Linked DNA regions of Cricetulus griseus. The protein of the gene in region 2 purifies or fractionates together with the protein of the main gene of each other region. This does not show direct contact. Links are inferred from orthologs where the notes say so. Each region holds a gene or a part of one and is shown on either strand. Other genes may lie near its edges.

Region 1 (4,241 bases), on a different chromosome or scaffold from region 2:
CAGCTTGAAACCAGCACAAGGTTAACTTTAAAAAAGCCATTTTCTGCTGAGATGCAGAGACATATCTGCAAGATGTCTGGTTCTAAAGATTTGCTTAAAGACTTTTTTTTTGTTTCTTCTTTTGTTGGTGCTGGTGGTGGAAGCCAGGGCCTGTGAATGTTCCACCCTGAGCTACACCTTCAGTCTCTAGTTTTGAATGCCATTAAGGGGGTAAACAGGAGTTAAGCTAACAACCCTAGATTGTAAATGCTAAGTATAGGGGTTAACTAAGTAATTAGTGTAACTCTTAAGTAGCCACTCATTTAAGTATGTTCACAGAGTGCTTATACAGTTCCACTGACTTCCTAAAGGTCATCCAAGTTTTGGAGCAATGGCTTCTTGATGTGCAGCTGTGCATGAGGGCAAGCTAGCACGGTGAAAGGACTGACTATGGGGGTTGAAGAGCTGGGTCAGAGGTTTTTAAAAGTGCTTGCAGCTCCTGCAGAGGACTGCAGTTAGGTTCCCAGTACCATGTTTGGTAGCTCACATTCCCCTGCAACTCCAGCTGTGGGGCAATCTGCTGGCTGCCTTCTTCTAGCCTCCTGCTCAAGAGTGTCTGTCTGTCTGTCTGTCTGTCTGTCTGTCTGTCTGTCTGTCTCTCTCTCTCTCTCTCTCTCTCTCTCTCTCTCTCACACACACACACACACACACACACACACACAGGCACGCAAATAAAAATAAATCTTTAAACATGAACTGACTATAACAAACTGCCTGCCTAGGTCTGTATCCTGGCTTTGCTATCTGCTGTGTGACTGGACAAACTGACTTTTTTATTCCTTAGATGCCTCACCTGTAAAATGGAATCAATACAAGTGCCTACCTTGTTAGTGTGTTATGAAGATGAAATTAATGTAGGCAAAGCAACTAGAACAGCTTCAGGCTTAGGAAAAACTACATCTTAGACAAAACACAAATCAGTAATAGGTATTGGCACTTTTTTTTTTTTTTTTTTTTTTTTTTTTTTTAAGGCTCTTGCTTTGTAGCCCAGACTGTCCTTCAGTTCCAGATCCCGATGGGCTGGCCTACTGAGTGTTGGAATTACAGGTATGCACCATTACACTCAGTTTTCCCTATGCACAGCCCAGTTTTTCATTCTTATTAAGTTCTAACACAGGAAAAGTTCAAATTCTCTTTGACATAGCTATGTTAAAACTCCTGGAAGGGAAGGGTCTGTCTGCTCAGGAGGCTGACAATGTTATCTTTTATGCACTTCACACATTCTACCCTCGGTCAGCATGTTCCCATGCTCACTTTGTTTATATCTTATTAAGAATCCTGGAGTGGGGATGGGAACATGGCTCAGTGGATGAATTGCTTGCACTGGGCAAGTTGGGAATCCCTTGAACTTACTTAAAAGCTTCCCAGATGGGGTAGCTGCCTGCCATCCCAGCACTTGGGAGTTAAAGATAAGCAATTCCCAATAGCAACATGGTTAGCTAGATTAGTGGGAATGGACACATACATGCTGGCTTCAGGGAAGCTATGAAAGCTATGTAGGAAGACATCAGATATCAGTTTCAAGTCTCCAGATGCACAGGTGCGCACACACATGTAAAAATCTAGCCTGTGATCCTGGGTCTGGAGATATTATAGTTCAGGGGCAGAGTGTCTGCTTACTATGTGTGAGGCTGTGAAAAGAATCCTGTCACTTGGAGAGCAGAACACAAATCACCTTTGTATCCTTGAGGCATCCCATAAAAAAACAAAAAACAAAATAAAACAAAACCCTTATCACAATGTTTCCTGGATGAAGGAGTGACTTATAAATAATAGAACAAGAGCTGGCAGTTCAGTAGACTGCAGGGGACAGATATGATTGGAGTCATGAAGGTCGGTCCATCCTGTTTTGTTTTTTTCTCACTGGGTGGAGTATGCAACTTTGCCTCCCAGGAGGCTGCTAGGCCCATAAGAGGCACTCTGTAAAATTTTGCTTAAATGCTGATGACTGAGTATCCAGGAACTTCAATGTATGAGAAGATGGGGCTGCTGACAGCGGGAAACGCTCATAGGAAAAGTAATGATCTTTGTGGGACACAATGTGGCTTGGTTAAATACTTACTTTGTGTACGACAGAGATGACCTTACACTCATAAATTACCCTCTGCTTATTTTCTTAAAAACAAACCAAAAGGGATCCTTCTTAAAAATTAAATCTCAGAATAAACCAGACGCTTAAGTCGATTCGGATCCAGTACAAAGGCTAATTATGACAACCGTTGGGTTCTACCAACAAATCATTCCAGTGTGTTCCACCTAAACAGATGGGTCACCACCCCAATCAAATAGCTGCAGCAACTCTAAGGGTGGAACGAAGAAGGAACAGGGCCGGGTCCGGGAGGAGTCAGCGCACTCGTCATGGCTACGCCACCTCCACCCAAGGTACTCGCTTCCCACCCAGCAACTCGGGAGGAAGCGAGAGGCTTGCGGCCGTCCCACTGCGCAGGCGCCCGCCCTCCGCGCGCACGCTCAGTTCGAGGCGCTCGCCTTTGCACACGCCCGGTGCGGGAGCGTCTCCCGGGTCTCTTGCCACCCTCTCTGTTAGTCCTGGCAGGTAGGATCGTCGGGCTCAACTCCCCACCGAAGGTTCTGGAAGCCTTGGCTACTTACCCGAGTAGTTTGTGCACTCTGCCTGGCAGCCCCGCCCCCTGGACCAAGCGGCGCGACTTCGTCTCACGACGACGTAGACGCGGCGTGCGCGTGCCCGCCCGCGCTGTGCGAGTCTTATGGCGGCGTGCGCCCGCCCCTGCGGCGGTGGGGGTTAGAGGGCGGCGCTATCGCGCATGCGTGGCGAGGGCGGGGCCGGAGCACTTACGGGGAGCACTTCCGGGCCTCCCGCACCCTTTCAGCTTCCGCGAGGGCTGCTGTTGCAAGTGTTTTCTGGTTCCTTCCTCCTGGCATAGGGGTTCTTTGTTTACTTTTATGATTATTGAGGACTTCAGCTTCTCCCGCGATAATTACACGAAGGCGCATATATATATTTATATATCCCTCTCCCAACCTCCATGACCCAGGGCTAGTCCTGGGTTTCCGTCCTTGTGCGCAGTCTCTCTGCCTGGAGCTGCCCAGGAAAGGTAGATGAGTATGCACCTCAGCCACCCCATGCTCAGGGCCCAAACGTTACCTTTTAAAGGCTGCTGTGGTACAGAGCTTGTGTTTTGAAGTGGGGGGGGGGAGATGCTGAAGGAATAGCACACCGGGGGGTCTTGTCATATGACTGCTGGTAATTGCATCCTCTCGTCAACGCTGACTTTCTCGGTTCTCCAAATCACAAACCCTCTCTCTTGGTTCTGTGCATGCGGCTACCCATTAGTGACTCGGCAGATGGCTGGACCAAGCATTTATGCCGAAGGGATTGTTATGTTTTCTTTGGCACTTTTAAGTACATGGGCTTGGAAGACCCAGCCATCTGTGATGGGAGCATGGGTTAGAGACTTCACCCACCGCTAGTTCATAAGGAGCCTTTGTTTCATAGCTATGTGATGCACAGATTGTTGGGCAGTGACCTCCAGAAACTGTTCCTTCTCACTGATGTGTTGGTCTAAGAATTACGTTAAGTGGTATTTTAGTACTTTGATAGGGAAATTAGATCTGGTTGTTAGTGCCTTTAAAAGTACTTACAACTCTTCCGTGGATGTTGTATGAATGATTCCTCATTGTATTTTTATATTGGATAGAAAGAACGAAGCACTTTGCCCGTGGTTAGGTAAATATCAAGACCGCACCCCCTTTAGGTTAATCAAATACCTATGGTCTCTCAAAGTCACTACTAATTCCTCTTATTGGAGGGCTGGTAAACAGATTACAAGTTGCTGTCTAGAGTGAGTCAGGAGGCTTAATAGGATGGTGGAAAATGCAATCTTTGCCTTTTAAAAGTTTATATACAATGGCAGGCCAGTGAAAATGACACTATTTTTGCTTAGGATGTGCTATGAACACAGTTATTTCCATTTGGGCTACATACTGGTCCACATGCAAGTTTTTTTTAATCTATTTTTTATTTTTAATAAAAATTTTAATCTATTTTTAATCTATTTCATTTATTTATTTTGTCTGTTTGTATGCTTCCTGGCTGCGTGTGTAGTTCAGAAGACAACCTGGTAGGAGTCAGTTTTCTCCTTCTACCATATGGGGTCGTCAGCCCTGGGAACAAGTGCCGTTACCGATTGAGCCATCTTACTGACCTAAGTTTTTATTTCTAA
Region 2 (4,990 bases):
ACCATGTTCCCAGCCACATAGAGTTCTTCATCGAAGTCGGCTGCATCTCCAATCTCACTCACACCTTTTCTTAACTGCCAGCTTTCCTTAAAAATCAACACAAAGGACATGCTCACCACTTCCTCCTTTGTTTTCAAGAGACTGCAGTAAGATTTGCCTATGGGTTAAGACTCAACCCAACACTAAGTCCTAAAAAGACTATGGTACATGGATGAACAAAGTGGGTGAATTAGCAAAGTGGGTACATTAATTATATTAGGAGATTCTTGAGATAATTTTAGACAGGTGGGAGAAATGGCTCACAAGTCCAAGAGCACTGCTGCTCTTCCAGAGGACCCAGGTTTGATTCCCAGCACCTGACAGTCTTACAACTGTCTCTAAGAGATCTGATGCCCTCTTCTGGCCTCTGTGGGTACTGCATCCACATGGTGCATAGACATTTTTTAAACCAACTAAAATTTCTGTTATTTTATTTTATATTTCTGTCTCCTGTATTATTCTGCCAAAAACACAGGCAAGCAAAAAGTGTATCTTTCATATAGATCATAAAATAAAATCCATGCATGAAGGGAAACTAAAGGTATGTATTAAATATAATAGAGTAGAAAAGAGACAGTGACTCAACAGAGGACTTGATGCAGTGTAGACTTCCCTGCTTCAGACCTGAAAATACATTCATCTTCTTTCCCTTGTCCCACCCACCAGATAAATGGAAGATAGAAAGTTTCTGACTTTGAACTATGTGCACTCCAAGAGATTTGATTTCAAAGGCATATGAAGATTAAACAAGGCAGGAGAGAAGAGGCACAGCTCAGTGATAGAGTGTTTGCCTATCAAGACCATGACCTTGGCTTGGCCCCCAGTATAACCCAAAAAAAAAAAAAAAAAAATCAAGGCTGGGGGACACACAGAACTATTCTGTTCTGGTACTGCTGTTTCCTGACATACTTTTACATCTCACATCCATAATTAAGAACCACTAGTTCTCCAGGCATTGGGGCACACACCTGTATTGTCAGTACTCAGAAGACTGAGACAGAAGGATGAAAAGTTCAGGGTCAGTCTGGGCTTCTTAGTGAAGCCCCATCTAAAAATAAGATGCTACTCCTCCTCTAATATTCTTTTTTCTTTTTTTTTTTTTTTAGATTTTATTTATTTATTATGTATACAACATTCTGCTTCCATGTATATCTGCACACCAGATCTCATAACGGATGGTTGTGAGCCACCATGTGGCTGCTGGGAATTGAACTCAGGACCTCTGGAAGAGCAGTCAGTGCTCTTAACCTCTGAGCCATCTCTCCAGCCCCATCCTCTAATATTCTTATGTGACATCAGCCCCATTCTAGGAAAAAAGTGTGGGGCTACCACTTCTAATCTCTAACATCTAGTCATATCAAGTGAAAATAAAGTTTAACATGAGACATGATCACATTATTCAACCCTCATTACAAGTTATGAAGTATGACCCCGTAGGCAGCACGGGACTGAAACTAGCAAACATGAGCCTTTGAAGTCCAAGGGCCAACACATACTTCTCTCTCCTGTGCATCTAGGTAGCTTTAAATCACTAGTAGACTATTAATGCTATGTTTCAAGAGTATGATGGGAATCTTTATAAAACCTTCTGTTTCTCGTGGATTGTAACCTCCTGAAGAGACCCCACCAAGCCAGCTGCACCATCAGAGGACCATAATTCAGAGGCTGGCTGAAGCTGACGAAGCTGGAGGTTCAGAGCATTAGGGTGGTGCTTGCAGTGGTCGCGACCGAAAGGAACAAAGTCCTGCAAATCTCCGGCTGCAATCATCGTTGCCCTTTCTTCAGAGAAGTTCGACATGGGTTCCAAATATCAACATTATTTCTGTGTGGATCCAAACACATTCTCATCAGCCTTTGAGTCAAAACTAGTTTATTACTACTACAAAGACCTGGATGGAGCTATGTCAGAAACATGGCAGTCCACCTCACAAGCATTCTGTGGGGATGGCTAACATCCTAGCAGAGTACGTGAGGTGGGTGTCGGCTCTGTCTCTCAGAAAACCTCTGCAATAAAAATGGGTTTCTTGGCATTACGTTTAAATTGCAATCTCCAAACATGGCTCAAAACAAGCATTTGATATCAGCACTACAGCCAACTGCTAGTGTTTGAAATGGCACTCAAGATTAGCAATGTCTAACTAAATTTGACTTGAAGCTCTCATCTGAAGTTTTTATGGCATCAGTTTCAGGTATTTTGTTTTGTTTTTACAAACACCTCAGAGTCTGGTTTCTCTGAAGCCCTCTGCAACTACAAAGTCTTTTTTTGCTGTGAATTAAATGCCATCCTGAGATGGTTGTGTCCAAAAACAGGAGCAAGTTTCTTTTTCACCTCCTAGAAATAAATCAGTACTGAGAACAGCTCAATTTGAAACAGAACCACAAATGCCTTATAAAACGAATGTGAAATTCCAAAATGTGGCTGGCGTTTCCAAATTCTACTCAACAAAGTAGCCGACATTAAAGAACTGGCGACTTTATCCGACTTTTCCTTGTGCAATTATGTAATTTCACTCTCTTATAGCTTAAAACAAACCTACGGGATTATTACTTACAGCACCACTTTCGCAGTCTTTTAGCCCAAAGCATCGTATACTTTCATAGTTCTATCAAAATTAGTAACCGTGTTATTCATTACGGGCCACATAAAAGTCCTGAGCTGACATGCTATAAACAAAACTGTCATTACCGTTACTAGGAACATATGCAAACAGCGGAACCCAGAGCTTTGTCTCAACACAAACAGGCTTCCCCGTGCTTTTGAGTAACCAGCGCTGGGAGGTAGCGGCCCGCGATTCTGGCGCAGGGCGCATCCGGCGCGCCCCGGAAAGCCCAGTTTGAGACGAGGGCCTCCGTCACCCAAGCACACGTTCAGGGCTCGCCCCGAGGCGCTCAGCCCTCGGGTCACCGGGTGCAGCGAGGCCCCGACACCAGGTCCCAGCAATGCGCTACCCAGACGGGCCCGCACCTGAGTGACTCGGGACGCGTCAGGCGCTGGCGAGCCCCGGCTGCTCCCCGGAGGCGCAGGGGCCGCGGAGGCCCGAGAGCGGCGGCAGGTCGGTCACGATGGCTCCTCGGCCGCACAGCGTCTCATCCCTTATCCCTGGGCCGCAGCGGGGAACCGAAGACGGACAGACAGAACTCAAGTGGAAGTGTCCATCTTGGATTTCCCGTCCTGCCTCGCGCCAGGGCGGGACAACGCGGGGACGCGCGGCAGTAGGGAGGGCCTAGCGCCTGCGCGATTAAAGAAGGCGACTGTGCGAGCGCCTACAGTCGCATGACGTCACCTCCTGGCTAGACCAAGTCTCTTAAGACCCCGAACTGCTTTCTCAATTGTGTTAGGTTAGGTTATTTTTCGAGCTGGCTCTGTGTTCTCCTCGTCTCAAAAAGAGATGTGTGCCTCCCGATTAAAGAATGGCAGCGCAAGGGAAGCCGCTGGTTTCCTCAGGAATGCTGGGAAAGCACAGGAAATCGCTCACGCCCACCATAAATGGGTTCTAGTCGGGTAACTGCTTGGTATCTTCTGAGCTTAAACAAACAAACCAAAAAAAAAAAAAAAAGGTGGAGCCTCTCGGTGCCTAAAGAATAAAGTGCTAGTTCTTTGCCCAAAAACGCAGTTAGCTGAAATTTGATGCCTTCACTGTAATTGTCTATTGTGACACACACCCTGATGTTTTAGTGCCTTTTCATTTCTTGGAATGCCATCGTTCAGAGCTTGAGGCTGTATTCCAACAGGAGGGAGTTTCCCTTAGAATTTGGTGAGTAGAATGTCTGTTTAACTGAGTATTCAAAATATGCTCTCCCAGCATCACAAGTATTCCTTACAGCGTCCAGGCCCCTCCGCCAACACCACCACCCCTGCACCCTATCCTAAAACTCTCCAGCTCCTAAGCTTCAATTCGCTTCCCTTTGCTTGGGTATTCAAAAGCAGTCAAATTAACAATTATATTCCACATGCTTTGCTCCAATTCTTTATCCCTTCCCGCAAAGCCCGATCATCCTACAAAGTTCTTTCTACCCTCAACAGGGCTTTCTGGAAGAACCAATAGAAGAGCACACACTTAAGTTGCCTCTCGGAGGCTCATTGCTTCCATTCTCCAACTCCTCTACCTCTTGCCCCACCTCAGTCTGCCAGCCTATTAACAGTCACTTGAAATAGAAGGGCACCCACTCTCCAAGATGCTGTGTGGAACCAGGCCAGTGTCATATACCTTGAGACAGTGGTATTTTCTACCACTGCCAGACCTGGATGAAAAGTCCCCCTGGGGGATATGGGAATTGGCTTCTAAAGAGCCCATACATGAAAACTCAAAATGGTAGGGAGCAAACTGGTCAATGAACAAAAATGAGGACATGACTGTACAGTTGAGGAGAAGGGTTTTTGTATTTTGTTTTTTTTTTTTTCCTGGTTTTTTGAGACAGGGTTTCTCTGTGGCTTTGGAGGCTGTCCTGAAACTAGCTCTTGTGGACCAGGCTGTCAAACTTACAGAGATCTGCCTGCCTCTGCCTCCTGAGTGCTGGGATTAAAGGCGTGCACCACCAACTTTCAGCTAGAGGAGAAGGTTTTTATTATAGAGATGGAGGGAGAGAATACAGCCAGAGGCATCTGGAAGAGTCTAGACTGAACATGGCCAATAGCATAGACCTGACCATGAGAGGAGGGGTGGGGGGCAAGAGATAAAAAGAGAAGAGAGAAGGCAAGAAGACCAAGAGAGATCCAAGAGCAGAGCCAAGAGGACATGGAGAGAAACAAGAGAACAAGGATCAGTAGAGAAGCCAAGGACCAAAAGACCTCATGGCCAAAATGACTGGGTTATATAGGAAAGGAGGAGGATGAGGAAGAAGCAGCAGCAGCTGGGGGAAGGGAATCGAACCTCAGGAGCTGGAAAGGTTTAAGATAGAGTCGGGGAGAGGCAGTGCTAAGAGGAGCAAGGACCCTGTAAGGAGTATTGGT

What was found.
Region 1: the proteins of Anapc1 (region 2) and Anapc16 purify together in Homo sapiens (co-immunoprecipitation; 5 studies listed by BioGRID and IntAct, with this or other methods). This does not show direct contact. The link is inferred for Cricetulus griseus from reciprocal best matches to the Homo sapiens genes ANAPC1 and ANAPC16.

What each region holds. Positions count from the first base shown.
Region 1 is NW_023276807.1:1,329,883-1,334,123, reverse strand, and holds the start of Anapc16 (anaphase-promoting complex subunit 16), read right to left. Parts: upstream 2,801-4,241; 5' UTR 2,650-2,800; intron 2,594-2,649; exon of another isoform or gene 2,440-2,593; intron 1-2,439. UniProt on the Homo sapiens protein: Component of the anaphase promoting complex/cyclosome (APC/C), a cell cycle-regulated E3 ubiquitin ligase that controls progression through mitosis and the G1 phase of the cell cycle.
Region 2 is NC_048599.1:49,873,439-49,878,428, reverse strand, and holds the start of Anapc1 (anaphase-promoting complex subunit 1), read right to left. Parts: upstream 3,240-4,990; 5' UTR 3,005-3,239; intron 1,862-3,004; 5' UTR 1,838-1,861; coding exon 1,625-1,837; intron 87-1,624; coding exon 1-86. UniProt on the Homo sapiens protein: Component of the anaphase promoting complex/cyclosome (APC/C), a cell cycle-regulated E3 ubiquitin ligase that controls progression through mitosis and the G1 phase of the cell cycle.